Linked DNA regions of Drosophila melanogaster. The gene in region 2 interacts genetically with the main gene of each other region. Each region holds a gene or a part of one and is shown on either strand. Other genes may lie near its edges.

The links.
Region 1: of daw (region 2) and put, changing one enhances a phenotype caused by changing the other (phenotypic enhancement), as found in Drosophila melanogaster (one study listed by BioGRID).
Region 3: of daw (region 2) and Actbeta, changing one enhances a phenotype caused by changing the other (phenotypic enhancement), as found in Drosophila melanogaster (one study listed by BioGRID).
Region 4: of daw (region 2) and Atg8a, changing one suppresses a phenotype caused by changing the other (phenotypic suppression), as found in Drosophila melanogaster (one study listed by BioGRID).

What each region holds. Positions count from the first base shown.
Region 1 is NT_033777.3:14,619,591-14,627,723, reverse strand, and holds the start of put (punt), read left to right. Parts: upstream 1-2,020; 5' UTR 2,021-2,478; coding exon 2,479-2,524; intron 2,525-4,051; coding exon 4,052-4,237; intron 4,238-4,304; coding exon 4,305-4,481; intron 4,482-5,420; coding exon 5,421-5,566; intron 5,567-5,634; coding exon 5,635-6,450; intron 6,451-6,510; coding exon 6,511-6,690; coding exon of another isoform or gene 6,691-6,702; 3' UTR 6,703-8,133. Other genes in the region: CG7886 (uncharacterized protein), read left to right, coding at 37-714; His4r (histone H4 replacement), read right to left, coding at 1,299-1,430, 1,495-1,674.
Region 2 is NT_033779.5:2,803,195-2,811,667, forward strand, and holds the start of daw (dawdle), read left to right. Parts: upstream 1-2,066; 5' UTR 2,067-2,407; intron 2,408-5,127; exon of another isoform or gene 5,128-5,342; intron 5,343-5,785; 5' UTR 5,786-6,116; coding exon 6,117-7,059; intron 7,060-7,173; coding exon 7,174-7,449; intron 7,450-7,954; coding exon 7,955-8,334; intron 8,335-8,403; coding exon 8,404-8,473.
Region 3 is NC_004353.4:1,078,352-1,086,657, reverse strand, and holds the start of Actbeta (Activin-beta), read left to right. Parts: upstream 1-1,861; 5' UTR 1,862-2,044; intron 2,045-3,384; 5' UTR 3,385-3,531; coding exon 3,532-4,531; intron 4,532-5,450; coding exon 5,451-6,401; intron 6,402-7,828; coding exon 7,829-8,085; intron 8,086-8,138; coding exon 8,139-8,306. UniProt on the Drosophila melanogaster protein: Controls several aspects of neuronal morphogenesis; essential for optic lobe development, EcR-B1 expression in larval brains, mushroom body remodeling, dorsal neuron morphogenesis and motoneuron axon guidance.
Region 4 is NC_004354.4:10,763,862-10,770,193, reverse strand, and holds Atg8a (Autophagy-related 8a), read left to right. Parts: upstream 1-1,855; 5' UTR 1,856-2,123; coding exon 2,124-2,213; intron 2,214-2,887; exon of another isoform or gene 2,888-3,026; coding exon of another isoform or gene 3,027-3,041; intron 3,042-3,537; exon of another isoform or gene 3,538-3,816; coding exon of another isoform or gene 3,817-3,864; intron 3,865-4,391; coding exon 4,392-4,589; intron 4,590-4,658; coding exon 4,659-4,736; 3' UTR 4,737-5,316; downstream 5,317-6,332. Other genes in the region: BTBD9 (BTB (POZ) domain containing 9), read right to left, coding at 1-139, 208-846, 901-1,473.

The DNA.
Region 1 (8,133 bases), on a different chromosome or scaffold from region 2:
TATTCTCCTGTACGATAACCCATCTTATCCCCACAGTTCAAGCTTAATCCCTCTGTTCAATTCGAGACGGACATTGGCGACAATGTGATGGTCAATCCTGGCCACCGATACGAGGGCGGCGGGGGCGATACGGCCTATGTCTACAACTATGAGCATGAGCAGCAGCAGCAGCCAGTCAAGCGGGGCTACGAGCACGGCTATGTGGTGGGCGTGGGTGACGGATCCCACAGGAGGCAGAGGCAATCTCAACTGGTCGAGGCTTTGGTGCAAAAACGTGTCCCAGGCGCCAGCGATGGACATGTGGCGCAGTTCGTTAGCAATCTGGAACGACAAGCGAATGCTGGTAAAACGGGGAAAAAGCGCCTTAAACCTCGGCCTGAGGACGATCTTCAGGTACCAGTCGGCGACATGCACATGGAGTCGTCGTATATGTCCCGCTCCGAAGAACTCTCCTCAACGGACGTTACGCTGGAGAACTCAGACTACGAGACGGAGGCGACGGACTCCACGTTACTTAGTAGCTCGAAATACTCCTCCATGCATGTCTTTGTGCGGCGCAAGCAATCGGAGTCCATGTCACTCACAGAAGAGGCCGGCGACGGAGATGCCGGCGGTGGTGGAGGCTCTGGCGATTTCGGCGACCAAAATGTCATATCCCCGGCCAATGTCTACATGTCCCTGCAGCTCCAGAAGCAGCGGGAGCAGAGCGCCTAGGGGTCGTGACTTTAGGTTCCTCCATTCAAAATCCCCGCAGCCATTCGCAGCCGGAGCAGCGACACCACAGCTGGCTGATACGCCGAGCAGTAACAACAACAACACCACTACCACCACCATCACACCCACAACAAAGCAGCCAACTCGATTCGATAGGATCCCCACTGGGAGAGCTAAATTTGCAGTCATACTCCCGGGCAGTAGCAGTAGAAAAGGGAACCTGCTCCTTTTTGCACGTCCTGCCATCTGCGAATTCAAGCTGCACCAAAAATGTACAAAAATATACTTTGGTCTTACTAATTTCCATTAAAGATTTATTATTTGTGTGCTCCCTAAGCGAGTTTGTTGGACCTTATTTTCGGATGATTAACCGCCCCAAGTCAAAATGCACATATGCATGATATTGAGTTCTCTATGTGATATCTTTTGATTTATTTAGTCCGTATATTGTGAAATTATAAAATATTTGCGTTCGGTTAAGTTTGCGTTGAATACTACTGATTAAGATTCAATTGGATCAAGTATTTTGAATGTAGTTAAGTTAACTCCATGGTTATTTATTATGTGGAGGTTAGAGGGCGTGCTTAACCGCCAAATCCGTAAAGGGTGCGTCCCTGGCGCTTGAGGGCATAGACCACGTCCATGGCGGTCACGGTCTTGCGCTTGGCGTGCTCGGTGTAGGTGACAGCGTCACGGATAACGTTCTCAAGGAATACCTGTGAATTTTCCGAGAAATTAATCAGTTTTTCACCACTTTCCCTTCGTTTCGCCAGAACGTACCTTTAGCACACCGCGAGTTTCCTCGTAAATCAAGCCAGAGATACGCTTAACACCGCCGCGACGAGCCAAACGGCGAATAGCAGGCTTGGTGATACCCTGGATGTTATCACGAAGCACCTTACGATGACGCTTGGCGCCCCCCTTTCCCAATCCTTTGCCTCCCTTTCCACGACCAGTCATTTCTCAGTTGCTTCGTAAAGTTGGCTGAAAAGAAGAGAAGACGCAATAAACTGTAAAGCGACGCCATGTTTGGTGAAAGGTAAACGTTCATTTGACAGGTGAAAACTGTTGTTAATAAGTCTGTTTTCATACAAAATAATGGTCTCCAATTATTTTTTTTATGTTTATGCACAAAAAAACTTTGTTGACCGATTCTTCTATTATTTACTTAAATTTCTCAGCAACAAAACTCACTTCAAGAAATCTCCAGAAAATTGCTTGTGAGCGTGACCAGATCTCGCACACCTCAAAATACCTTTCGCAAAATGCGCGTATCTAGTATTTCTATTGTCTCACTACCAGCCCTGGTCAGTTATCGCCTATCGGCCATCGCTATCGCCGCCCCGTTGCGACAAAAAAGATTTAATCGAACCGAAAGACGTGCTCGCACTAAAATCGCTTGAAAACAGGCCCGCAGACCTGCGAAAAACGAAAAAGTGCAGCGCGCATATACTTTTTCAACTGTGCCCCTCTAGCTTAAAATTAAGTCGCGGCGAAAAGTCGAGTAAAACCCGCGGAAATGCGCATGCAAACGGCGTGTGGCCAGCAAAATCGCTGCCAAGGCACCGCACACACACTCGGCCACCCACACATACACACTTAGTGCTGTACTCGAAAAGTGCGAAGACAACAGGAACTCTGTGCCAAAATAATATTAACAGTACCCAGTTATTCCATTCCACTGCACCTGTCCCCGAAACATCGAAATATTCGCGTTACGTATACGCAACGAGTGCTGTAAACAAGTTTGCACAGGCGATAACAATGTCCAAATACGATCTGCTTTATCTAACGGCGCAGCTAACGCTGGGTATGTATTGCACTGCGAGTGTGTGGGTGCATACTTATTGGCGCCTTAATTCCCAGTCGCTTTATTATGTACATATGTACATAATATTATATTTTGTCTCTGCCTTACGATTTTCCTCTGTAATGCAAGCCGACTTCGATTTATAACCATTCGTGCGTGTGATTTTTGATGATATGGGGTGCGTAATGCTATTACTTTATTAATATCACATGGCGCTTGAAAAGTTCATATATAGGGTGTATAGGCTTTGTGATAGCTTTGTCCTATTAACCAACACATCAGAACATCTTAAATTTTCAGAAATTAGGTATAACGAATGTAAATGCTAGGAATCAAATCTATTTGTGAAGTGAATAATGTATACACTAGATACTCTATTAAAGCACCAACAATTGTACTACACAAATGTAGTAAAATATCGTAAGAATTGTTGACAGTGGGTACTACGAATTCATATGTTGAGCGCCAAACGCATACTCGGTATAAATCGATCGGATACCTAATTCCCAATCTTAATCCATGTGTGTGTGCGCTGAGCATTTCTTTGAATGGATTTTGCTGCATTAGGAACTTGTTGTATGGCAGGTTCTGGTTTCTCCCACCCTTTTGCTCCACCGGCCTCCCTCTCTTTCGCTCGCCATAGCCCTCTCTCTTTCTGTGGCGCAGTGCGCTCTCTTCCCTGTTGCTGCTGTTGTTGTTGTTGTTTCTGCTGCTGCTGTTTCCTTTTTCCGCACAAGCGCCACTTTAAACCCATCCCTTTCTGTGTGCATAATGTGCCTGCTTATGTATCTACTTTACTATAAAGCATGCACGCTTACGAACACACACATACATGGCCAGCGATCCGATTACCTAAAGGACAGTGGGACGAAAAGTGTTTCAAAGGATTGAAAACAGTTTGCTTAGCCAATGGTCAAGAAATATCAATCAATATATCGCAGGCTCGTTGCAATAAACGTTTTCAAAATTAAATTTTTTGTATTTACACATTTAAAAAGTGAATTATCATTTTAATTTTTATCAACAAAAATTTCGGTATTTGGATGAGGATCCCAGATTAAATCGAATTAAAGAATGTAAATAGATTTTCAAGAAACCTTACTGCAGGCCCACTGTGCACTGCATATCCGTGCATTGGGGCCATGCCCACTCAAAGGCTGGTGTGTGGCCAGTGGGGCTAATTCCGTGCCCAAATGGGGTGGCTTTCAATGGCAGAGGCCCCAGCTTAGGACGCTACTCCTGCTACTTCTGGGCATGCGATATGTGTACAAAGGATAGCGCCCACAAAGAGCTCGCTGAGCGCCCTCCCTTTCAGTCTTATTCCCCAAATAGGCTCGACTTTATTTGCCCACCCTTTGAGCACTTCCAACCGATAATTCCATTAACTTTGATCTTTAACTACGTTTTAACTTTTTGAAAGTCTTTACTCATGTTTTAGGACTGCTCAAATATATACTTTAAATATAGATCAGTGCTAATCTAAAACTAGAAAGATTATTAATCTATTTTCCCATTGTCTTCATTTAGTCTGCTGTCTGATTGGAATCCATGGATCTATTTTGCCCGGAAGTCATGGGATCATAGAATGCGAGCACTTCGACGAGAAGATGTGCAACACAACGCAGCAATGTGAAACACGGATAGAGCACTGTAAGATGGAGGCGGATAAGTTTCCCAGCTGCTATGTCCTTTGGTCGGTCAACGAGACAACGGGTGAGCCGTGCAGAAGTTGACGTTGTTTCAGGCATACTGATTAATTTTAATTTTTCCGTTCCCATAGGCATCCTGCGCATCAAGATGAAGGGCTGCTTCACGGACATGCACGAATGCAATCAGACGGAGTGCGTGACCAGTGCAGAGCCACGGCAGGGAAACATTCACTTCTGCTGCTGCAAGGGATCGCGGTGCAATTCCAACCAGAAATATATTAAAAGCACCACGGAGGCAACCACACAAGGTGGGTTCGGATCCGGTTTCGGATTCAGATTCGGTTTAACGTTTGCTGCTACTGGGGTTTTGTCTTTGGAGTGTTTACCCCAATTTTGTTATTTTTCCGTTTGCATATATTTTTTGTTTGTTTTTGTTATTTCGTTTTTTTTTTTTTTTTTTGTATTTTTACTGCATCTTCAAGTTGCAAAAAGAGGGCGTAGGCTTCGCCTACAAAATACCACTCCTCGCATCCGAGGCAGCGTTTTTCGTGTTAACGAACTCTTGACGCGAAGTGGCGCCCGCTCCCCCATCATTTTCTACATCCCCAGCCTCCAGCAACCCCTTTTCGGAGCCGCATGTGTTGCAATTTCTGCCCTCCTGTGCACGTTCGCTGGTTCGTTTTTATTTTTATAGTAAGGTACTTCTTTAGCGATCGGGTATAATGCGTTCGCTTTAAAGGATGCAACTGAAAGAGGTAGTTATTTGGTATAAATCCAATTTATTTCACTCCGATTATGAAGGCTTAATAGGATTAGACTCTACCTATTTTGAATGATACTTAATTGGCTTGCAGCCTTAACCCACAACGAGGAGAGTATCTGTTATCTAATACCAGGTATACAAGTGTCGAGTGACTTCATTCTAGCATCCTTTCTTGTTTTTATTTTTGGGGTGTTGCTGCTGCCTTTGACTTCGAAGCCCTGTGCTGCCAGGGCGTCTTTTGTGCCCTGCTCTTTGTTGTTTTGTTCTTGGGCCTAGCTCGCTTTTATCTCGAAACAAAATGAGGGGAAAAAGAGATGCGAAATTGGGGGCGAACTTTCGTTTTTTAGTTTTCGTTTTGCCTTTCATAGCAACCCCAGCAGCTGCAGGTGCATGCCGCCACTCGAGATGTTGTTCACCTGTGGCAAGGCAGCGTTTAAAGCCCTCTTTAATGTTCGTTCCCGTGTGTGTCCTTGTATCGTTGCAGTGCCCAAGGAGAAGACGCAGGACGGCAGCAATTTGATATACATCTACATTGGCACCTCCGTTTTCAGCGTGCTCATGGTCATTGTTGGCATGGGCCTTCTTCTCTACCGACGCCGCAAGCAGGCGCACTTTAACGAGATACCCACGGTACGTACATATCCTTGTGATGTTGCCGCAAATATATAATTTTAATTATGCAAAATTAAACCCTTTAGCACGAGGCTGAGATAACAAACTCATCGCCATTGCTCAGCAACCGTCCCATTCAGCTGCTGGAACAGAAGGCCAGTGGTAGATTCGGTGATGTGTGGCAAGCCAAGCTCAACAATCAGGATGTGGCCGTCAAGATCTTTCGCATGCAGGAAAAAGAATCGTGGACCACGGAGCACGATATCTACAAGCTGCCGCGCATGCGCCATCCGAACATCCTCGAATTCCTGGGCGTTGAGAAGCACATGGACAAGCCGGAATATTGGCTGATATCCACCTACCAGCATAACGGATCACTATGCGACTACCTCAAATCGCACACGATCTCATGGCCAGAGTTGTGCCGCATCGCTGAGTCCATGGCCAATGGACTGGCACATCTGCACGAGGAGATCCCGGCATCAAAGACCGATGGGCTAAAACCATCGATAGCTCACCGAGACTTCAAGTCTAAGAACGTACTGCTTAAGAGCGATCTGACGGCCTGTATAGCTGACTTTGGTTTGGCCATGATATTCCAGCCAGGCAAGCCCTGCGGCGATACACACGGTCAAGTAGGCACTCGACGTTACATGGCCCCAGAGGTGCTTGAGGGTGCCATCAATTTCAATAGAGACGCTTTCTTACGCATAGACGTCTACGCATGCGGCCTAGTCCTCTGGGAAATGGTGTCACGGTGTGACTTTGCCGGACCCGTCGGTGAGTTCCAGCTGCCTTTTGAGGCCGAGCTGGGCCTGAGGCCGTCGCTGGACGAAGTTCAGGAGAGTGTGGTAATGAAGAAGCTGCGCCCTCGTTTGCTCAACTCCTGGCGCGCCCATCCGGTGAGTGTGACTTCTGATAATGCTTTTAGTCAATGAAAATAACTTGTAACTTTTTTACAGGGACTTAATGTATTCTGCGACACAATGGAGGAGTGCTGGGATCACGACGCTGAGGCTCGTCTTAGCTCTTCGTGTGTGATGGAACGCTTTGCGCAGCTAAACAAGTATCCCTCAACCCAGTTGCTAATCAAGAACCACACCAACATTGACGACGCCAAGGAATCTACGAATTGCTTATAGAAGCGGTACTAAGCCACAGACCAGCCAGCGGATCTGTGGCTCTGCAAAAAAATCAGTTGAAGCTTTTTGCTTCGTAGTGGATAGTTGATCGTCGAGGTCGTAAGACGTTTCGTTTTTAGTTTAATAGTTTGTAGTACCATTATAAGCAGCTATAGAATGGGTTGATTTATACGAAAGAAGTCGTGTAAGATGTAACTTTTCCTAAGGGAAAAGCCAAAAGCTTAACATGCCAACGATTCTTTGTTATTATTTTCTTTAAATTATAAATCGACTCATTCGATGTTAACCCGAGTTCTTAAATCTGTTGGAAATGAGTGGAAACGTACACTAAGCAACTTTGAACAAAGAGCATTAGCTATGTCCAGAGACGTGGTAGTTGCTAATCCGACATTGACTTCATTGACTGATAACCATATATAGTTCTATATAAATCATACATATAACGTACAATTTGTTTTGCCCTCTGGCAGTAGCCTGTGTGCATATGTAAACTGTTGAAAATTATCGTCAAGCCTTTTAAAGTATAATTTTATTTGTACGTTATCGAATGTCTTCATATAGTAGTAGTTTTATATTTAAAGTTATTTTCAAAATAGATTTAACAATTTTAGTTTACTTTTTAGTTGTAACGTTTTTATTTCGCGCTCAAACGTGCATGCGTTTTAATGTTGTATTTTAAATAAAAATACTTTAAACTCCATCCTAACCATCTGATTTTTTATTATTTTGTCTGTTTTATATTTCTGCTTTTGATTTTTATTTTTTTATTTCCAAAACGTAGTGCCAATGACCCTCAGAAATCGCGTAAGCATAATAAATGTGTAATTATGTAATTGTATTCTAATTCTACTGGACAGTACAAGCAACACCTGAAGTTTTCAAAGGAAAGTTTCTTTTTAACAAGAATCTAACTTAAGCGCATATACATAAATTATAAAATATAAACTATACTCTTTATATATACACACAACACATACACGCATAGGCATACGGAACACACGCAGTCTAGCAGGTTTATATGAAGCACACGCTGCGACTCATCGTCAGCATAAAATCTAAACAAAAAAAAAATCAAAGTTAATATTCAACCCAAGAGGTATGCACACACTGTAAGAAATTAGAGCTAAACACAATGAGTAAGTATGTTAAACATTGTTAAACGGATAGTATGTCTTATAATGTTAGCCAAACAAGGTGTATGTCGAGCTATAGTTATTTAAGCTATAGTTTAATTAAGAGAGTCTTGGCGGAATGTATTATCTTTCGGGTTATTTGAAACTTTTTTGCGCAGCATCAGTTCTTATCAATGGCTAAGCATCTGAAATACTTCTGGATTATCAGTTAAGATATCAACTAAACACGATACACAACACAGAACAAAACGAAACAAACAAAGCTTCATTACCTGATTTTTTTGAGCAACTTACAACAAAAATAGTTTAT
Region 2 (8,473 bases):
TATTGGGTTAAGTTATGAGTTTTGAGTGTAATTTTCAGCAACTATGACAAATTAAAAGTGTTTTTTTTTGGCGATGTATCAGGCAGTTTTCAAATAAAATTGCAATTTAAAATAATAAAAATATATTCACACATATTGCAGCCTCGATTAATTTTTTACTATGCAATATATACTCTAATAATCTACGTTTTAATGATTTTTGAAATTACTTTTTATAATTAAATCGAAAGTCGTGGGTGTTATCAATGGTTATCAAAATGAATATATAAAAAACAGTGTATATTTGTGTTTTGTCTGGCTACTTTCCGGTTGTCAACAAGAAATCCTCTGTAATCAGAAGACTTTGTTCTGCTGGCCCTCTTCTTAACCTATTAAACCAGGAATAGTAGAAATAGATTCAAATCGTTTCAATAACTCTATTTTTTGAGTTCACATTCTTAGACTTTACTTTCCTGATCTGTAATTTGAATCAAATGCTCACTAGACAGTCATAGAATTTTCCTGATCAAATGCAAGGCCAAAGTCTAGACGAATAAGGCCATTTATAATCAAATGAAGCGATGAATAGTTCAGAAAATATTAGAATGAATCTTTAGATGTTTAAGGTAACTTTAAGCTTGCAGTTCAAACGTGTAACTAAAGTCATAGTACCCCTATCAAGGGTATAAGCATCATATATTGTTGACTTAATTATGACACCAAAACACTGTTTTAATTAAAAACTGAAATTCCAGAGGCCCGGCCACGATAAGCCGTGCATTGTGACGTGTTTTTCAGCACGCGCGCCACATTTAAAAATTAGACGTTTCGAGTGAGATTTTGCCTCGATCCTGAGTATACAAATCACGAAAGGTATATTGTGCGATTCCATCGCATTATATTTGAGGTGAATGCTTTATTGTGAAATCTCAAGGTAAACAAAACTCGGAACGGACTTAATCAGTCGATTGGCATGAGGTTTGAAAGTGAAACACAGCGATACGCAATCAGAGCCAGCATTTAATTAATATTAGCCATTTACATACTATTGTCCTCCGAGGTAATCTCAAGAGACCCATGCTCGACGGGCGTGAAAACTTCAAAATTATGATATCACACATGGTAATCAATTGAAGCAGCCAGCAAGTTAAAAACAAGAAACCCCAAACGTCGTAAAAGCCACATCGTAAATTGGTCAAGAGGAAAGCGATTAGCTGGCCAAGAGCTAAACAAAAACAGGAAGGCATACGTAGGGTGGAGTCTGAAATTGAGTATACTTAGTTCATTCGTTATATTACATCTAATTGTTCAGTCTTTTACACGACATTGTTTGCATATTCTTCGATGATACATATGTACTTTCTTCTAGCATTCATGGTTATACGTCAATTTTAGTCATACCTCTCGCTAGTACCGCTTATTAATAGACATTGGGCCATCAAAAGAAAGCGATGGTATCGCTTTGGCTGTGAGAACCAATCGCCATTAGGCAATGTCGGCTATCAGGGAAAGTCAAAGGCAATCCGCTGGACTGGACTGCCGCTGAACTTTGGACCGGTTGGATCGAGCGATAAAACCCCACCGGCACGACGTCAGCTCACGTTTTTGGGTGACGAATGCTGGGGCTCGATCCTCATTCCCAACAAGCTCGAACTCACGAACGGCCATCGAACATGTAGCGCCGGCCAGCGAACTTGTTCGATGCTCCAGCCTCGAGCGGCGTGGGTGTTCGATGCAGGAGGCGATCGGATGGGAGCCAACCGGACCTAAAACGCTGCTGTGTGGGCCAGGGGGGAAAGCCACCCATTATCAGTGGCTCTCCCTGCTCTCCCTCTCTCTCTCTCTGTCGCACTTGCTGGAAGCAAAGTAGAATTGCGCATCGCTTAAAACGCAGAGCAGCGGAGTGCGCCAATGATCGGCGGCGTGTCTGTTATCAAACAAACTGAAACTCAACTGTCTGCCGCCCGAAGAGTGGGCCATACCCATACCCATACCCATACCCAGGCCCATACTCACACCCATACCGCTCCCCACAGATACCGTTAGTCGTACCGCTCCAGGCTTTTGTGGCCGCTGCGCCGCCCATCGTCGAATTATTCACACGCAGACGTTCCCAACGATCGGATCGAAAATTATTCAAATCGTGCAAATCGTACATGAAACTTGGTGTGAACGAATAATACTTTATGTTTCTTCAAAACATTTGTTTTTGCTCAGCGAAATATCAGCTCGTCATTTTGAGGAAATCAAGTTCAAGTGGTGAAATTCAAAACAATAATGAGTTTGCGAAAGTGATTTGCGAAAACAAATAAACGGACAATCGATTGTAGAATCACTCAAGGACATTTGATAAGCATCCCTTTTCGCAGAAGATTGCAAACAATGTGCTAAGTTATTCAAGCATTTTGACAATGGATTATTAATTTGGGTGAGTTACATAACACAAGGGCTTATTGTGTAAGAAGTTTAAATAAAAGTGCCAAAAATGTGAATTATGGAATCAGCCTCAACATGGGATACTAGAAATTGTATATTTTTTTTAGCAGTCTAATGCTCAATATCAGTTATTACCAAATCGCAGGGAAGTTTCTAGTTTCGCTTTTGGAATATCATGCCGTAATTAAAAACTAATCATGCAGTGAATGGTTTATCGATCAGAGGCCTATCTATCACCGATTGATTGATTGATAGTTTTCGAGCCTATAACCCAGGCGCATAACCTCCAAAAGCTCTTGGCGAATTTCGGCCACGTCGAGAGTCATTGGCCAAATTTAGTTGCTACCAATGATGATCTTATTTAATCCTGCACTTGATTTATGGTAGCATCGCCGATGAGCGTGTGGCGAGAAAAGTATTATGGCAGATTAATTTGCGACGCTTCGGGCCTCTGGCTTCTGGCAATCGGGGCAATCTCCGTGAGCGGTTCCAAAGTCCAGATCGTGGCATGCTCCCAACCGCTGATCGGCGAGAACGGCGTGATCGCCGTGATTTATTGCCAAAAACCGATGGAAGCAGCCGTGTTTTTGTCGCAGTGCATTCAACTGCTGCGCGCGAAGAAGAAATGCAAGTGATAATTGCCGGCAATTACGATAGCCCCACTCCAAGTCCGAGTCCCAGCCCCACATCCAGTCCCAGCTGCCCCGTAATTAATGCGAAAATGATACGGGCAGGCCCATGGAAAACCCCCAAGCAGAGTCGCTTAGTCAAGAAGCCATCTCCATCAAGCGGCTGTACTTTGCACCTCCAATCGACGCATCGCCAGACCCCCAACTCCCCATTCACAGGCACAGCAGTTTTTTGCTCCGATTTGCATCGACATGGCAACCGCGGAGTCTTCACTACAGCTTTTGCTTCTGATCACGCGCTGGTGGCGTGCTCGATGACGTAGCCATGACTGCCGGGCGTTAAATGACCTTCTTCAACTTCTGTCCCCCTTCCCAGCGGCACCCCTTTTCCGCGGGCCCCCATCACATCGCAGTCGCACGCCTCGGCTTCGATTCCTGCCTTTGATAAGTCGGTCAGTCAAGTCAGTCATTAAGTCCAGTGCAGTGCGGACAGCTCGAGTTACGTCAAAAACGAAGAGTACGTACAAAACGTGTCACATGTCGCGTGTGTGCTACAATCCAAGCCCTGCTTCCTGATCCGATCCCCATCCATTCTATCAGATCCCATCCCATCCGATCTGATCCGTCATTATGTGGCCCCCAGTCGCTTTAATCGACGTCAGGTTGGTTGTGTTGGAAAAAACAAAATGGAGCAGATTTTGGAACGTGGCAATCTACGTAGGTTGTGGAAAAATATGCGATGAGTTGATAAGTGGTGCGACATATGCTGAAGGCCAGGACGTCATTTAAATTGGAAAAGGGCCACTGGAAAAGTGTAATACCTTATGTAACTTATGGGAACACGTAAAACTAAACTTAATTGTGCAAGTCAAAGGTGTCATAATCTAATATGAAATTGGGGAGTATGCAATACTTATAGTTGTTTATTGTATTATTTCCTAACAAGAACCCCTATTAATTTGCTTTTGCTTAAGCCGCACCAACAATGTTGCCAGAATTCGCTGAGGCCTACAAAATTTCTATCAATTAAACGGACCTTCTCCTCCGTATAGTATAGATCATTTCTATTCGTCTCGATGATCTAATTGGGTTCAGAAAAATCACAGTTCGTGACAAGCGAATCGGGCACGTGTTCAGCATTTAAGGCTAAATCGAATAGGCGGTATAATATAACTCGTGATCTGCCGGCCTTCAAAATACTTTTCTTGACCTTACTCGACTGCTTCACATTTAGCCGAGACCAGAAATTCTGGCTGATGAAATTCCCAACCGAAATACTCATGAATTTCCCATTCGCATTTAAATTGGAAAACAGACACACTATGTATTTGAAATGCGCATCTATTAACCGAATCCGATTAGGATTGCCCAGAATCGCATGCTAAGCGTACTTAATTGGTTAAATGCCGCACTACATATTCCATGCTCCCGATTTGTGGACCAAAAGTGGGAAACCGCCCCTTATCAGCAACGTGTTCACTATTAATTGATTGACACACAATCGAGTCGGATCATCAAAGTCAAGCTTGATAACGCTGCGGGGTAATTAGCATGAATGGGCCACTCGACTCGATTCGATTCGATTCGATTCGGTTTGAAGCGATCATAAATTCACTTGATATCAAAATGCCCCATTGTGGCCAAGCGAGTGCCAAAAATGCCAACAGATAGTGACGCCGCCAACTGGGGGCGTGGCATTGTCAGGGTGGCGGGAGGTTAAAAATAAAATTGCAATTAAGAATTTTATGCAATTCGGTGGCTTGGCGTTTTCAAGAAGCTGATGCAATGCTGCACCCCACTTGCATATCCAATTGTCTTCGGCTAAAGAGAGAGCGCCATGTAGCCATAACCATGGTCTATAGTCATAAATCGAGACCCGAACCGCTCGGCTTGGATCCGAGTCCGCAACCGATACGAAACGATCCGTCAGATACGATGCGATTCGAGTGGTTCGGATTGTTTCGGTTCGGTTCGGTTCGGTTCGGCTGGCGCTCGCGGAACGATCAATCAAACGCTCGGCGATCGTCACATAAATTGTTCTACTAATCAGCCAACCGCTTCATTCATTCACAACTCGTTTGCGCTGCCGCATGTCGGAAGAGAAAGAAGCACCATACTATATCATAGACCATACCACAAGTGGAATACTATATAGACGCGCGATCCCAGCTATAGCTAAAGGCCCGTGCCACTCGTGTTTCGTGTCCGGGTTCAAAGTTAATGCCGCAACCCCCGCCGGATTCATCCGGCTGAGCAGATTCAGATCCCATTGGAGCAAATCGGAGTGTGCTCACCACGGTACGTGTGGGGTCCACGTCCACCTAATTGCCATCTAATTGAGCCCGCTTATCAGCGGATCTGCGCAACTACGCTTTCGATTTGAGTCGCACTTGGGGCAAATAGCCCATGTGATAATGTGAAATTGAATACTGAACTAAACTAAATCTTCCCGGAATTAATGTCAAAAAAACGATTTGCACTTTGCCACCTGCCAATTCGAGCTCAACGATATGGAATAAATGATGCAATTTGGTGCAAAAATTAAGCGAGACTTCGGGCTTAGTGAGTGATAGTGATAAATGCACCTGATCCGCTGGCATATTAAATTGCATTTTAATTGGGGCAGCGCGTTCGCAAATATTTATGAGAAAATTTAGGGCATAGCTGTTTTAATTTATTTGATTAATAATCGGAATGTGCTTACAATATTAACTAAGTTACAAATTTCTTCTTATTTGCAGACGAAACTTAACGAAAAGTTTAAAATATTGAACATGCATCATTCAAGCGTATAAGTCGTTGTTATATAAAATCATAAAAAACGCATAAACGTTTTAAAAGTGCTTAAACAAGGCTATAAAACGGCAACAATAAGTGAAACCAGCTGCAATTCTATGAGTTTTGTAAACCTGAAAGCCGGAAAAATTGATGTTTTAATGCTGCCAAACAGATAGCAATCAGCCCCAGCCGACAAAACAAGAGTGAAACCAAAGGCGATCCAGAAGATCATAAGATACATATAAAATATCTCACAGTTAAAAAAAAAGAGAAGTCATAAGTACATATTCAGAAATGGCCAAGTACTTTATAGCCCTGGTGTTGCTGGTGTGTCTGGCCCTGGAGAACAGGAACGTATACAATCGCCTGCACGCCCGCTCCCATCCGAGTTCCCGTGGCGACATCCTTCGTCCGCATCCTAAGCACCAGCCGCATCCCCATGTGCAGCACACCTCGCAACAGCTGCAGCAGCAACACCATATCCGGCAGCAACGATCCCGTCAGCTGAAACACCTGGAACCGGATCCGACCAGCGAGGAGGACGATGTACCGATCACCAAGCGGGAGTACTATGCCCGCCTGAGGCGCCACGTCATCCACAAGAGGCAGCACCTCCTGCAGCAGGAGCTCAGCTACAACCATCCCGGCTCCCATTCGGAGCAGCTAAAGGTGCCCCGCCTGTGGCAACACCTCATGGAGCAGGAGGAGAAGGCACACCGACATGTGAGCCCGCCCGTGGAGTTGCCTATCATGTACGGAGATGCCCCCGAGGAGTCATCCCTCTCCTCCGATGATCACTTTGATGATCTGTCGCCGCTGGACTTTGTGCGCAACGAACTGATGGCCGAGGACCAGCAGAATCAGGAGAAGGATCTCGATCTCGATCTGGACCTAGATCAGCAGCCGGAAACGCCCATAGAGCCAGAGCTCCCATTGGGTGAGAGGAACATCACCATTTCGGTGAAGTCCAGCGCCGGAGGATGCCCCAAGTGCGAGAGCAATCGCCAAGTGGAGCACATCACCGAGGAGCAGCTGACCCACTTACGCATCGAGTTCGTTAAGCAGCAGATCCTGGAGAAGCTGCGCCTCAAGGAGAGCCCCAAGGTGTCGGCCGTGGAGCTGCCCAAGCCCATCTTCGACGGGATGACACTCTCCCATCCGGACGATAGCACCAAGAACAAGGAGCTGGACGATTACTACGCTCGCACTAGCAAGAAGTTCATACTGCTCAATAGAGGTAAGCAAATCTAGATTTAAGCACTAGAAAGTAAAGATTGAAGCTTAACTTCAAAGGGAATCCTTTTACCATTCTGATTTTGCTAACACAACCCTTTATCCTTTATTTTTACAGAGGAGGTCGAGTGCAACCGAGCGAGAGATGGAAAATCCAATCCGTCCATGTGCTTCACCTTCAAGATAGACGACGCAGATGCCGAGGGCTTCGACGTGAGCACCGCCGTCCTGTGGCTCTTCAAGAACAAACAGAACCGCACCGACACGGCATCGGTGAACAGCACCAGTGCCCAGCAGACGATCGTAGTCTCCGAGGTGGAGGTGGATCAGCAGAAGGACTCCAAGTATTTGTCGGCGGCCAAGACCATAGCCATCCAGTCGGTGAATGTGCAAGGTGGGTACACATAGTATACATTAGTATAGCATAAACACTCATCCCCCCAGAGCGTAATCATGCCCAGAAAAGAATCGCACACGTTTGGACCTTTGGTCGGCAGCCGCGGAACGGCCAAAACTGACCCTCAATACCCTCGGGGGACAAATCAAAATATGTGACATGTCTATACTAGATGGGTATTATAAAAATTATAAAGAACGCCGATAAGTGCCAACGTTGACAACCGCTTGTTTGTGTTTTCAATTAGACAGATCATTGCGCAGATTCGTGATAGCACTGCTTGATAGCTCGGCTCGAATCTGAAATTCATGTGGGTGAATAACTTGACAAAGCATTATTCGTGGGTGCAAAAACTGAACTTTGGCCACAACCCAGCACAGTTGTGAGTTCCTGGGGTCAGTTACCAGATAAGAAAGATGGGATCTACGATTCTGGGAGAAGAGAAGATGGCTCTGTGGAACCCCCAACTAACCGCTCTGCCTTTCCTTTCGCATACTTTCAGATGAGTGGATGAAGATCGACATTGAGTGGCCCATCAAACACTGGATCAGTGGCCACGAGCTGAGCCACCTCATCCAAATCACCTGCGGTGGCTGCGATGTCAGCGACATGGAGGAGATCATTTCGGTGGACAAGGATTACCGGCCATTCATCGTGATCGACATGCAGAACAGGCGGCGCAAGAGTCGCCAGAAGCGCAGCATCAACTGCTCCAGCGGAATGACCGAGTGCTGTCGGGAGCACCTGTACATATCATTCCGGGACATCGGCTGGAGCAACTGGATCCTGAAGCCGGAGGGCTACAATGCCTACTTCTGTCGCGGATCCTGTAGCTCGGTGGCGAGTGTTACGCAAGCGGCCTCCCACCACAGTTCCATAATGGTAGGTACCCCATTCGACAGGAACTGATGTGTTGATGATGAAACTAATGTATATCCTCTTCCCTTGCAGAAAATTCTCTCCACGAGCGGTGCTAACAAGTCGCTGGAGTTGGTGCCCTGCTGCACCGCCAAACAGTATT
Region 3 (8,306 bases), on a different chromosome or scaffold from region 2:
TGGTTGTTTTTGGCTGCTAGGTACTGGAAATGCTACTGCTGTATATATTATGTTATGTACTATTTATTTATACTACTTACTTTGTTGGTATACTCTTTCCCGGAATAATACATATAGTTATTTCCGGAGATTTTCGGGAGCCGAAAGTTAATACATACAGACAGAAGGGGCTTTAACAAGTCGATAGCACATAAAACCAGAATAACATGATATCGGCAAACTAAGGTTTATATACTCTTCCAATTAAAACAATGTCTTGGATAAAGTTTTTTAACCCGTGCCACTAACGTAGACGACCGATACATGCCAGTCAGTCCCCTTGTCCGTCGGTCCATCTTTATAAAAGTCAAAACCTATAAAACTATAGATATCAAAAAATTGAAGTTATCCGTCCAGATTCTAGTAACTCCTACGAGGCTTTTGCTTGTATCAAAACGTAAATTATTTATTTGTTATGTCTATGTACATGTATGTATATGATGAAAACAACCAACAACAAAATATTCGTATTCTATTTCTAGTTTGATGCAATCGTTTCGAAGGAAGTAAAAAGTAAATGTAGCCAATAATTGTAGGTATTCCGGTGAAGTTACGTATACATCCTCTTTGTTCTTTCTGTTAAATATTCTTCAGAGAGTACGGTTTACCCTTTTTTTGTTAACAAGTAAAGGATAAAGAAATATTATCTGCTGGGCTTTTCCTTATATCGATTTGCATAACTAAAATCAGCAAAATAATAGAATACTTACTCGAATTTCACATTTGGAAAGTATGTAACAACCAGAAGGAAGCGTTTCCAACCATATAAAGTGTGATCAGGATCAATAGCCGAATCGATCTGGCCTTGTCCGTATGTCCGTGTATCCGTGTGTCCGTCCGACCGTCTGTCCGACCGTCTGTTCGACCGTCCGTCTTTCCGAATGAACTCGAAATCTCATGTACTGTACGTAAACGTAAAAGCTTGAGATCAGCATACAGATTCAAGCGACATAGACGCAGCGCAAGTTTGTTGACAGATGTTGACACGACCACTCTAACGCCCACAAAGCGCACAAAACTGGCACGCCCACATTTTTGAACAATTTGTGGATAGTTTTTCATAATTTCATCTAACGCCCACAAACTGCACAAAACTGCCACGTCCACACTTTTGAAAAATGTTTTTATATTTTCTCATACATACTTTTTCATACAAGACTAATAATCTTGTAAATTTCTATCGATCTGCAAAAAACATTTTTGCCACGACCACTCAAAGCGCTAAAATCGACCAAAACTGCTACTCCCACGTTTATGAAAATGTATTGGATATTTTTCATAATTTTATTAGTCTTGTAAATTTCTATCGATTTGCCAAAAAACGCCCAATATAAAGCCCGCAAACCACGAATAACAGGTATAACAATTTTTTCCCATTTTATTTCCCCCTAATATCGATATCCCAGAAAAATGATGAAATTTTGCGTTCGCATTCGTACTAGCAAATGAATATAATATTAATATTTATATCTTGATTTGAATCTAACTGAATTGGACGTAAAGTTTTACAGATAAATCTGTTAATGTTTAGGCGCACATAGATCGACACAAGATCGACTGCTAATTTGGAATTTTGGGTAAACGATTCCATCTACGCTTAACAACATTTTTATTTATTAGTTACGATTACGATTTAAAAATGATTTAGGTTATTGAAATTCATCCATTTGAATCTGCCGACTTTTTAATCGTGAAAGGAAGCATATATCGATAGCATCGATATTCTTTCTAATTTGAATGGCAACAGATATTTCTGGTGCAAATATGGCAACGCTGAAATATTGTTATTTTCAAGAAAGCTTTTGAAAAGCTTAAAGTGTCATCTTAGTTTCACAAAGTATGCAATGTCATTTAGCAACCAACGGAGATACAAAATATTGTTTCCGTGCTAAAAGGAAAAGCATAATACATTTATAAATCGTGAAAATGTGATAGTGTCCCTAATATTTCTCGTGAAGAAATATATTTACTTAGTTGAAAATTTATTGTTTCTAAAAAGAAAAAGGTGATACATATTGTTACATACACTGATCATAAGCCTATACACATAACCACCTTCCTTCTTACATATGTACAAATTTTTTTGTTGAACGCATGCTTTTAATTCCTCTTCATCCCTTTCCGCTGCTAGGCTTCTAAGTAACCACCATTCAGGCGTAGGTCTTTTCATCTGGACACAGTCTGTGTGTCGCCTTGAGTTCTTCAGAAGGGACGGATGAGTCTGTCTGTCCGCTTCTGTTGGTGCATGGTATGAAGTATTTCTGGCGTAATAATAACTGTGCCATCCGAAGCTCGGCGTCAGGTTTAGACTAATTTTAATGTGTTGTACCCTTTCAAAGTGTATATTGATTTAAGTCAGTTTCTTGCAACGCAGTAAAGGAGACAATTACGACCACACGAAGAATATATGTTCATCTGTATGGCTAGCAGTAAGAGCCGTAACCGTCCGTCCGTTTCAACGCAAACTGGTTCAATTACTGGTTAATTATCAAGTAAACAAGTATTCGGAGAATATATCATTTAAGATTTGTATACCCGTATATATATTCCCTTACTCGTAGAATCAAAGGGTATACTATATACGTTAAAAAGTAAGTACCATGTAGAAGGGAGCATTGCCGAGCATACAAAGTATATACAGGGTGCGGCAGCATAATTTCCTTTTTCAGAACTCAATGAAAACTATTGTAGGCATCGGAAAAAATTTATTTTTTTTTATATTGTACGTACATGTCATATTTTTTGAAGATGAAATCTGATAGGTGACGTCCCCCATTCTCCATACATTGCGTAAACCGATTTCTGGCGTTTGTCGTGAGTCTTGTTAGCATGGCAGGTGTTATGATGGCAATTTCTTCTTGGATGTTGGTTTTCAAATCTTGTAGGGCTCTTGGACGGTTCACATAAACACGGGACTTCAAAAAACCCAATAGAAAAAAATCACAAGGGGACAGATCGTGCCGGCCATTCCAAATCGCCTCTAATTGAGATAAGGCGCTCTGGAAAGTGTTCCCTCAAAACAGCCATCGATGCTCTTGAAGTATGTGCTGTTGCACCGCCTTGTTGGAACCAATTTTTGTATATAAAAAACACTTTGGCCACAAAACGAGCGAAACGGTCACGCCCACATTTTCAAACAAATTTAAAACTTTTTCGTATCTTTTTGCACAATATTTATAAATATCCCTGAAAAATTATGAAACTTCGCATCGGGGAAGTCGACTATAGCTTTCTCCGGTGTTTTTAATTTATTTGCCAATTTGTAGCCTCCTCTCTTGTTTAGTGTCCATATTAATTTCCAGTTAGCTTACCACTTATCTAATCGAAAATTTGTATTTTGAACAGGCAGACGAAATGAACGACAGAAAGGAAAGGAAAGGAAAAAGATTTGCAATGATTAAAAAAATATTTACCAGAAAAATAAAATTGACAATACTTGTACCACGTTTCTAAGGGACAGTGCCTGTACTACACGCTTGCCATATATCAAAGATGCGATTTGCCTTCGATTCTAATCATTCGCAATCGGGGGCGCCATTCAAAGGCAGCAGGTGTTTCTTTAATTGTCAATGCATCTGCTGTCGCCAAGGATGCTGCGTTGTGGTTGTAAAGTGCTGTTGCTGCTTTAACTTAAACTGCTGCAACAGCCTTGGCTCCCGGAAGTCATTTCCACAACCCGCTGCAATGCGTAAAAAAGTTGCTGACCTCGAAGTCCTTAGAGTATCAAGGTTTGTGGCGGTTATTTTAGTGCTGGCTCGGTGGGTTACTGCGGTAGCGACACTCCTGACAAGCTGCATACTCCTAGACATATTTTCCGTGCCTGGCCAGTCTGGAGTTGCAGATAGAAGCCAAGCCAGCAGTAGGACAGTGCACGTCTCGGTTCCTACCACACCTAATGAAACTCCCAGTAGCACTTCGGAGACGAAGCTAAAGTTGCTTTATGGGTATACATCGTATGACATAAATAACGACCAACAGGTAAAGTCCAACAATTTATGTAGAGTGCTTTGTAAAAGTCGCAATCGTAAACGACAGCGAAGGAGGCGACGCCGACGCAATCACAGACGACGCAGGCACAGATATACTAAGCGACTTCATCATCTAATGCAAGATAATATGAGCGGCTTTGAGCAAAGACTTAATTTTAGCGATGCCAAATGCCAGTCTTTGGAGACAAATTACGGAACTAATTATGACTTAGTACAAGGAGGTAAACTATTTAGTCAGTCAGAGAGAAGCCTACTGGTGTCCCCTTTGAGGGAAATTGAAGCACCTTGGCCAGCGATTCATGGTTCAATGCGTAACTGTTCAAAGATTAAACGCAATAGAGCCAATCTTATTTGGCTTCTAATTGGACTCGTCTGGTTTGAAGTCAAACTTATAAATTGCAATGGGATCAGCAGTAGTAATTATTATGCTTCGAATTTGGAGAGTCACAAGGGCTGCACCTTGTGCCATGAAAGCGGAAAGCCCAACATATACACCGATAAAGGTCAGTTTTCAAAAAAATTTTTTACATACTGAATATAGGGTAATCTTTTAATATTCTTATTGAGACTAAAAAAAACTACATTGAGTTTGGCGTTATTAAGATAAAACAGATGTGAGTTGTTGTGAAATAAGCGGTTATCGTACTGTACCAAAACTATTGCAATGCAGAATTTTTTGTAAAATAAATTTAATTTGTAAGATTTTTGTGCTATTTTTAAGTAAAATAAAATCATTTTCAATGATTAAATTAAATATCTATTGACAAATGTTGTACCACTAGTAATGTAAATAATATTTAATACAAGGACCACCCGCAGTAAGCCTGGGATATTCATACCCCCTTAAAAGGGTAAATAACAAAAAATACAAAATATCTAGAACAAATTTTCATAGTCTGGGTGAGTTTTTATCTTAATATTGCAATTTGTTTATCTTAAGGATTGGAAAAATTTGCTTGCTACACGATTAATTTCGTACATATTTTTGAATTAAAACATTACGAGTCTTGAAAGGTATTCCTGTCTCGTCTAATTTTATTGTCATAAAATAAAAAAATTATATATTGTTCTTAACGTAAAAACGAAGGAAATGTCGCTCCAGTGACGTAAATATGTACAATACTAGTCAAACTCGGTATTGCAAAAAAAAACAGTAGAGGTCATAGGCGCTGGATTTCAGAAACTATAAATAGATTTGATTATTGATTTTATTTCTTTTCGAGATTTTTGTGAACCATAAAAATAAATCCAAATCTTAAAATAATAATGCTAGCAAGACAAAAAAATATTTTTAAAAAACGATAAAACTTGTGTGATATCGGGTAATGAAACTTTACTAAAAACATAAAAACACTCCATACAACAACAAAAATTTATATAATGAATTTTACATAACACTTTACAATTATCACATTCACACAGATAATCCACACACAGACTACAACATCTACAACAAATACCATTCCAACAATAATTTCAACAAAAAAACTAATCAACCCCATAACAACATTGCACCCAGCGATGAAGTTCGTTTGGAGTCAATAAAACGGCAAATTTTGACAAAGCTTGGTCTTAGCCACAAGCCTAATGTATCTCATCCTTTACCAAAGCAATTTATTTGGGAAACAATATATCGAGTCGATGGTGGACGAATGATACCAAACAATGCATTTGGGAGCAGTGGTAAGAATTTAGATCAGAAGACTATCAAGCTGAGGGCGTTTGCCTCGCCCGGATCACATTTGTTTAATGGCCGAGGTGGAAGGACCGATCAGAGAAGCGAACGGGATCCCAGTCATCATAAATATCGATCCCCGTTCGATTTCACTTTCAATATAAGTAAAAATAATGTATATGGGAAAGTATTGAGAAATCGTTCTTTAGAACGAATCGATAAAAAAAACTCATTCTTAAACGGATGGACAGAAAACCGTCAATTAAAAATAAACTCTCAAATTGCATCTATGCCTATAGAACTAAAGAGCCACCATAACAGTAGTCCTAAGGAGCTTAAAAGCGGAGCGGTCAGAAAAGTTAATGGCATCAACGGCACACAAATGAATGAGAATGCCTTAAAAAAATCTACATATCCTATAGATATAAATCATAGTATTGATAATAAAACCCATACTGGCAAAAATGGTGAGATGAGCCACAATGATTATGAATATTTTAACGATTACAGTGTTCAGACTCATGATAAAAACCGGTACCATGAAGGTCGCTCTAGCATTGGATATCAGCCAGCGATCCACAACATAGAATATGAAAATCAGAAAGGACATCACGAATCTTTTGCTGATGATCATGAAAATATTGATCATGAAGACTTCTTTGGAAATACGCAGGAAATAATTACATTTGCTGAAGAGGGTGAGTAGATTTTTATTCAACACAGGATTAAACGCTATCGTCGAGGGCAAATTAAAAAATAAGAGACGTCGAGTTCGCCGACTATCAGATACCTGTTACTATAAATAAGTAAATATAAATTTTATTTTATACCCGTTATAACTAGTGGGTACGCAAACGCGAAATTTCATAATTTTGCTGGGATATCGTTGGATATTACGGGGAAATAAAATGAGAAAAAAATTGTATAATTCTTTAATAGTGAGGGAGTGAGCCTCTTGGGCGTTTTGTTGGTGAAAGGATGTGCGTGATCACAGTGTTTTGGTATACCGGTGGAAATTAGCAAGACAAACAATAAAACAAAGAAAAATCTAAAAAAAATTTTCTAAAGTGTGGGCGTGGCAGTTTTTTGGCAAATCCATAAAATTTTAAAAGACTAATAAAATTATGAAAAAATATCCACAAATTTGTCAAAAAAAAAAAATTGTCGGCGGCATTTTTTGGGTCGTTAGAGTGGGCGTGGCAAAAAGTTTGTTGACAAATCGATAAAAAAAAATGTACAAGACTACAGACTAAAAATATGAGAAAATATCAAAACTTTTTCAAAAGTTTTCGGAGGTTTGTGGGAGTTGGCTCAACACACGTGCGATGCGTTTAGGTGTCTACAATCGGTATGCTTCTAGCTAGTATGCTTCTAACCTTCTAGCTTTTATAGTTCATGAGATCTAGACGTTCCATACAGACATGGCTAGATTGATTCGGCTATTGATCCTGATCAAGAATATATATACTATATATAGTCGGAAACGATTCTTCCTGCCTTTAACATACTTTACTATACTATACTATACTATATACTATAGTTACTATTATATATTATTATATTATAATATATATTAATATATAGTAATAGTAATATACAGTAATAAAAATAAGAAAGAGTGATCGTGCCCAAAAAACATTAGGCAAATCAGTAGAAACCGGCTTGTGGCGGTATGTATGGCATACCGATAGAAATTGGCAAAACAAATTATATAATGACTAAAAATAAAAACGCTTTCTTAAAAGTGTAAGCGTGGTAGCTTGTGAGAGTGCTTCTTCTCTGAAATTTTTAATTTTTTATCTGAACTTTCTAGATTTTACAGGCCCTGACATCGATACGATCGATATGGACAAAAACGAATATATTTAAATACGTTATATTAAAGTTGAAGTAGTTGAGGTTTTTTTAATGTCTACCAATATCCGCCATCTCTAACGCCTACAAAACGCTTAAGAGTACATTTTATATACAAAGCTTTGATTTTTAGTTAACTGTACAAAAATTGTAAACTTTACAATATATCTGTTTTTGAAGAAAAAAAACAATGCAATATATTTTTTTGTAATTCGCTCATATGACTGTGTGTAGTCTTCTTATTCATTGGCATAATATATTTTATTTTAAGGAACCCAATATCGACAATATCGAATACTCGAGTTTTCGGCCCAAAACCGCCGTGTTCCCAGCCAAAAATTATCCATACGAAGCGCTCAGATTCATATAAGGATAGACAAGCCACATAGTCTTTGGATTGAAAAAGCAAAAAGTTTGCCAGAAAAACATTTACTAAACACTAAACGAAAATGGGGAGCAAATAAACCACATCACAGAATAAAAATATGGGTATTTCAGTTATCAACTTCAATCAATATTACGGAGAAGGTAACATTAAAAATATTGTTTTTTAACTAATTTTTAAAGCTCTTTATTTATAGGGAATAGATAAGGCTATTATCTTCCGAGCTTCTTTTCAAGTTGACCCGAAAAATTTAGGATGGCAAAAATTCGATTTAACCGATACAATCCGTGAATGGTACGGCCATACCAGTCACGAAAAACTGCGTTTGTTGATTGATTGTACTGGATGCGGTGGTCGTTACTCT
Region 4 (6,332 bases), on a different chromosome or scaffold from region 2:
TGCGGGTGCGACTCACGCCGTCCGTCACAATGGCGCTCATCTCTACGGTGGCCACGTTCGTCTTGGGCGCCACAAAATGGTTAACTAAACGCGGCACCTTGGCCGTGTGCATGGCTTCCAGACCCACAACATGGAATACCTATATATTAATGGAAAGGGAAAAAGTTAAAGAATGGGGAAAGTTTGAAGAGATCACTGCTGACTTACCCGGTTTACAGTGTTCTGGGTGCCCACCAGTCGAATGAATCTGACGGGTCGTGCTTCGAAGTATAAGTATTGCCAGGAGCGGCAGTGGTAGTCGCTGTAGTCGACCACGCGATCCCAATGCTGCTGGTCGCCGGACACCTCAACGTAGTAGGAGTACGCCCGGCTGTCTCTGTCCCAGAGCAGCATGCGAATGTGATTGATCATGCAGAACGTGCCCAATTCGACCACAATGCCCGCATCTTTGCTGTCCGTAATGCAGTGGCGCGTATACCCGTTCTCCATGTCATAGGTGGTCACATCTCCATCCAGCAGCGCGTCGCGACACTCTCCCTGGATGCAGCGCGACAAAAACGTCTCCGCGGCCACGTTTTCCTCCGGCCAGAGCGCCGCCCTGTAGGGCAGCGCCTTTGAAGTGCTGCGCTCGTCGATGGCGTCGAGAATCTTGTCGGGATCCAGGATGCCCGAGGGACGCACCACCTGCAGCAGATGCTCGAGGTTCATCAGTGGCAGGCGGACATAACTAACCACGGACTTGAAGTCCACGTTGCTATTGAAGCGGCTCCACTTCCACACGGCCAAAAAGATCTGCACCTCGGGGGCGAAGAAGCAGTCACGCCGTAGTACCTCCTCCAGCGATTCCTGTAAGCATTACATACTCTTAGTGCCAACTTTACCAATTGGTTGTGAACTTACCTTGGATAGCGTATTGAAGCTGTTGTGCAGCAGCAGGTCGCCGGCATTGCGATCCATGAACATTAGGCAAACCTCGGTGAGTTCCTCTAGATTGTATAGACGCGCCGCATCAAGAATCATGCAGACATTGTCCAAGGCCAGATACTGGCGTAAATAATTCGATATGGCCATCTCCAGATCCTGGAAACCATACTGATTGGCCATGCCCAGCACATCGATGGTGGAATCCTCGTCCAATGTGGACAGCAGCAGTGTGCCCGAGTAAATGTAGCGCAGCAGCACCTTGAACGCTTCCAGCGGCACCTCAAGCGGTATTTGGCGCTGTGTGGTCTCCGCCATGCCGCCGTACAGCAGCGCCCGGAAGTATTCGCTGCGTGCCGCGAGTATGACGCGGTGGGCGGGTATGCGCTCCTCCTCGACGATGAACTCCACGTCCGCGTACTGTTCGTTCATGCAGAGGCGCGCCATGTCCGCTGAGAAGCGATCGCCCAGATCGACCACGTCGGTGTAGTCCTGCTCCATGGCGCCCTTCTTGCCGCCGCCGGACATCTTATGGTGTCCCTGGCTGCTCATCCTTCTCTTTTTTGTTTTTCTTCCGTGCGATGTGTATTTATGTGTGTAAGCAGCCAGAGGGAACAGTTGACAATTAACGTTTCGTCTCGCCTGCTGCGTCAATCCATCGATGACAGTTAGTGATATCGATAATATCGATGGCACAATAGGGATTCTTCTATTGCGGCGAAAAACTGTTATATGTGCAGTGTGACCGTAGGTGTGTATACCATTTAACGCGTACAACAACCATATCGACAGCCGTCTGCTAGCGAGCACATGAACCACATGGTTGCATCCGATAACATTTAGCGAATACATGAACCAAATGGTGTCTGTCTAATATGCCACCACTATTAGCGCGTTTCGGGTTGGTGTCTCTGCGCGCTCACTGGTCACACACGGTCAGTCTAGCCACAGCAGTTAGCGAGTGCAGTCACCACAGTGCGAGTGCTTATCGATAAAACCAGCAAGTCATCGATTTTTAGACCGAAGCGCTCTGTCAACTGCTGCGCACGGTCACTCTACACAAGTATTTCGTACCGTTTGTACGAGAAAACAGAGAAGAGAAAAACACAAGCTCAGCAACGCATCGATATTCGGCACAGTCCCAAAAGCAAACGAAGTGATAGAAGCTGCGTTTCTTAGCCAATTACCTCTTCATTGCAATCATGAAGTTCCAATACAAGGAGGAGCACGCCTTCGAGAAGCGTCGCGCCGAGGGCGACAAGATCCGTCGCAAATATCCAGACCGTGTGCCCGTAAGTACTCAAAAATATATATATAAATGCATATAGGTATAAAGAGACGTGTGTGTGTGTGTATATATGCGTGCGAGTGTGTGTGTATGTGCGAGCTTCTGTGTATGCGTTTGTTTTGCGTCGTTTTTTTTCTCGCTCTTTTTTTTTGTGTTTGCACCGAAGAAAATCAATACTGCGCATATTGGGTATTTCGATTGTTATTACAATATTATTGCACTGGCACATCAGGTGGCTGGGGAAATTTGTGCGATGGGTATTGCATAAAGTGCATTTTGCATTACTGGTGGGGGGAACAGGCGACAAGCTCTCAAAAGAAATTCAAACGAAAATTCTGCCCCCTGCATACACACATACGCACGCATACACGCGCACACAGGCACACAGATGTCGACAGGAAAAAACAAAAGCAAAAAAAGGGAGAGAACAAAGCAGCCGTTTCACTTGCTCAGCTGTTGTGATGTTGTTGTTTTCAGTGCTAGATTTCATCTGTGCCACCTCTTCCTCTCCTCTATCCCACCCTCTGGCTACACAGCAAGAAAATCGCATATATCTATCTGTCATCATAATTTAGTTACAAGCAAAGTTTTGACCACCCCGTTTTTTTTCTGTGTGTGCACCAACCAGTTGTTTTCGATTTTAATTTCGTTTGTTTGTTGGCAAAACGAGCGAGTACTGCGCATAAAAAAAGTCACTAATACTCACTAATACACACTTATACTAGCGCTGCTTGTTTTGTTTTTCGCAAATACACAAAGTGCGACTGGAATTAGTCATAGATGCGCTGCTGAACACAAAACAAAAATAATAAAAAAAATGGAAAACAGAAAGGTTGAAAAAAACAAAAACATCTTCTGCTTCTTCTTTGTTGTTTTTCTGCTATGTATGTATGCATTTCACCACGTTATCAGCGAAAACTCCTTTCACAAAAACCAAAACAAAACCAAACGAAACGAAACGACAAACTGCTGAAGGTGCCCCAATCGCAGCGAAAAGTGCAGTTCTTGTTTTCGATTTTGATTCGGACTGCATATGCATATGTATATATGTACAAATATGTACATATGTGCGCTATATATGCACCCCCGAAATATTATTGCCAGTGTTATTTTAGTGTTTTTTTTTTTTGGCAAGTGCAGCAGTGCCAAATCACAAATCACATAACAGCTGAGCGAGGGGCAAGGCCAGCTGGTCGCTCGGACCACCAGCATATCCATATATATCCGAATTCTATAGAATATACTTAGTACATACATACGTACTAGCACATCTCATACTTGTGCCTTGAGTTCGGCCAATGACGATAACGAATTTCGATAGAACACTAGTGTATAGAGGGGTGGCATTCGCGACAAGCAGTTTTTGCCCATTTCGTATTCACTATGTTGGCACCCGCTTCCTGTTCCAAAAAAAAAAAATTGGACAAACCAGTTTGCCAATAATTTGGCTAAGGCTAACTAATGAGCCCCTGGCTAGAACGGATCGTCTAGTCTAGGCCAGCTAGCAATTATTCCAGAGCCAAGGAAATGCAGTAGATTCGTTACAAAGCTCACTTCAATGACCAACTTGGTCGTCTTGGTGATCAATTTGGCTAAAATGCTGTAAAATGTGTATGTGTTTTTGCATAATGAACAAAAAAAAACAGATGATACAGGTGAACTTGAATGTAAACAGGTGCTAGAAATCTTAATTATATTACAAAACATATACCCCTTGAAAAATGCATTGAATTTGGCTTAAAAATAATATGTGAACAAAAACACACGTGTGTGTAATTACACATTCCAACTTACGAAATTCCAAAATGCATTACGAAATTACTGACTGAAATTACGAAATTACTCATTTTCCTGTCTAAATATAATATGAGTCAGGCCAATAACAATCAGGTATAGTTGTTCGTAAACAAATTAGTTTTCAATTAATATTAAGGTATTTTGTACACTAGATAGCAAGCATCAGAATTCATAAGACTATAGTTTATGTTTTCGGCATTATCATATTCCAAGGTAGCACGTATTCGAGCACACTTGCTTCCAGCAATGCAAATGCCATTTGTAGCCAAATATGTGAGCCTTATTGGGCACGTAATCAGGTGCGAAATGTGCGCACATTAACATGCACAAGTAGCCCGCAACAACAACTCACCTCCTGTATTTCTTCTTCTATTTAAACCCAAAGGTCATCGTCGAGAAGGCTCCCAAGGCGCGCATCGGTGATTTGGACAAGAAGAAGTACCTGGTGCCTTCCGACCTGACCGTCGGTCAGTTCTACTTCCTCATTCGCAAGCGCATCCACCTGCGTCCCGAGGATGCCCTCTTCTTCTTTGTGAACAACGTCATTCCACCAACATCGGCTACCATGGGCTCCCTGTACCAGGTAATTACCACAATGCCCATTATTATTAGCCTTGCAATCGAATCACATACGTTCGATGTATTTTTATAGGAACATCACGAGGAGGACTATTTCCTGTACATTGCCTACTCCGATGAGAATGTTTACGGCATGGCCAAAATTAACTAACTTTGCTCCGGTCGGGATGCATCGGAATGAAGCCCCCCCCCTATACAGAAATCTATATATAAATAAAATATATTTTGTGTTTAGCATGCAAGCTTACAATATGGACGGCGAGTTAGCTAAACGAATTGAGGAAAACCGCAGGAAATGCCACATGAAAAGAACTTGAAATTGATCTGATACGCAGGGCAACAAAAAAAATCCACAAAAACCGAAAACTACAAAAACAATTGTTATGTGAACATTATTTTATATATATACATTTTCCAAACGCGTTAGTATTTCAATTAAACTCTGCTTTGTGTCCTACCCATTAACGAAACAACCAACCAACCAACTTTCCCCACAAAAAACAGATCTATTCACACCCTTTCTGGGCCATTTAATTTCCATTGCTGTAATTGATCCGTGCGAATGCTTTGTACTTTACTTTGTTACTTTGCTAATATTTCAATGAATTCACTATTTTTTTTTTTATTCACGATGCAACAAAATTCTGTGCATATTTAGTGTGTATGGTTACGAATAGGACTCTCTCGGTTAAGTGTACGGTAATTAATCTATTATTAAATAAACAAAAACCACAAAAATACACATGCAAAGGGTGTTTGTTTATTTGGATTGTTCTTCGTTTTCAGTTTGCAATCACGTATATCACGCTTAGATGATTCAGCGATAAGTGACAGGAAGAAGTTATTTTATACTGCTTTTTCTTTTGTTCACCGAACAATGAGTCCTTATCTTTTAAAAATGAAATGAGCTTTAGCAATGAGTGGGTGTTTTTTTTTATTCTTTGCTATTAGTAACAAAAGCATTTATTTATTTTAAATTGAAGGCGTAAAAGGTAGTACTTATGATACCATTCGCAACGCAAAAGTTTAAGTGTGCAAATTAAATTGAAAAGAAATCACTTTGTTTATTGTTTGCTTATCTTATCGCAGCAAAGGCACTTTGCTAGCCATTCAAAATTGCCGCCCACAAACGTTTTTATGGGCAGCACTGTCATCAAAACACAGCTGGTCACACCATCAAGTGCTGCAAAGCAATATCTCAAGTCAGCCATAAGGAGAGCATGTGCTAAAAAGGGACAGCTCCACACAATAAGTACGATTAAATTGCGATATATTTTTGGTAGTTAGTATTTTTGACGCATTTGGCGGACGACTGAGCACGTTTGAATTTCGTGGATTTTTTAGCCAATTTCACCATCTGGCAACACTGTTCGTTGGCCTCGCAGTTTTTCACCGAAAAGGTTTTGTAAAAACACCGTGCCAAACTGTCAGAGAAGCAGGTAAACTAAAGTCCACCTTGTCGGATCGGCCACTGAAAAGCCGGATTAAACAAACAACGGACACGTTACCGAACAGCTCGGAAAGGTGCAGAAAGGAAACATCAGATGAAAATCTATTAGCTGTTGCGAATTGTTTGTTTTTGCTGTGCTATTCGTGTTTTTGTTGTTGTGCATATGATTGTGTCTCTGTTGTTGTTGGTGGTGGTGTTGCTGTTGTAACTCGTGACGACGGAAATTAGTAACAAAGTGAAAATTGAGAGTTCAAAAAAGAAGAGAACCCCGAAATAACTGTTGTGTGGGTGCGATTG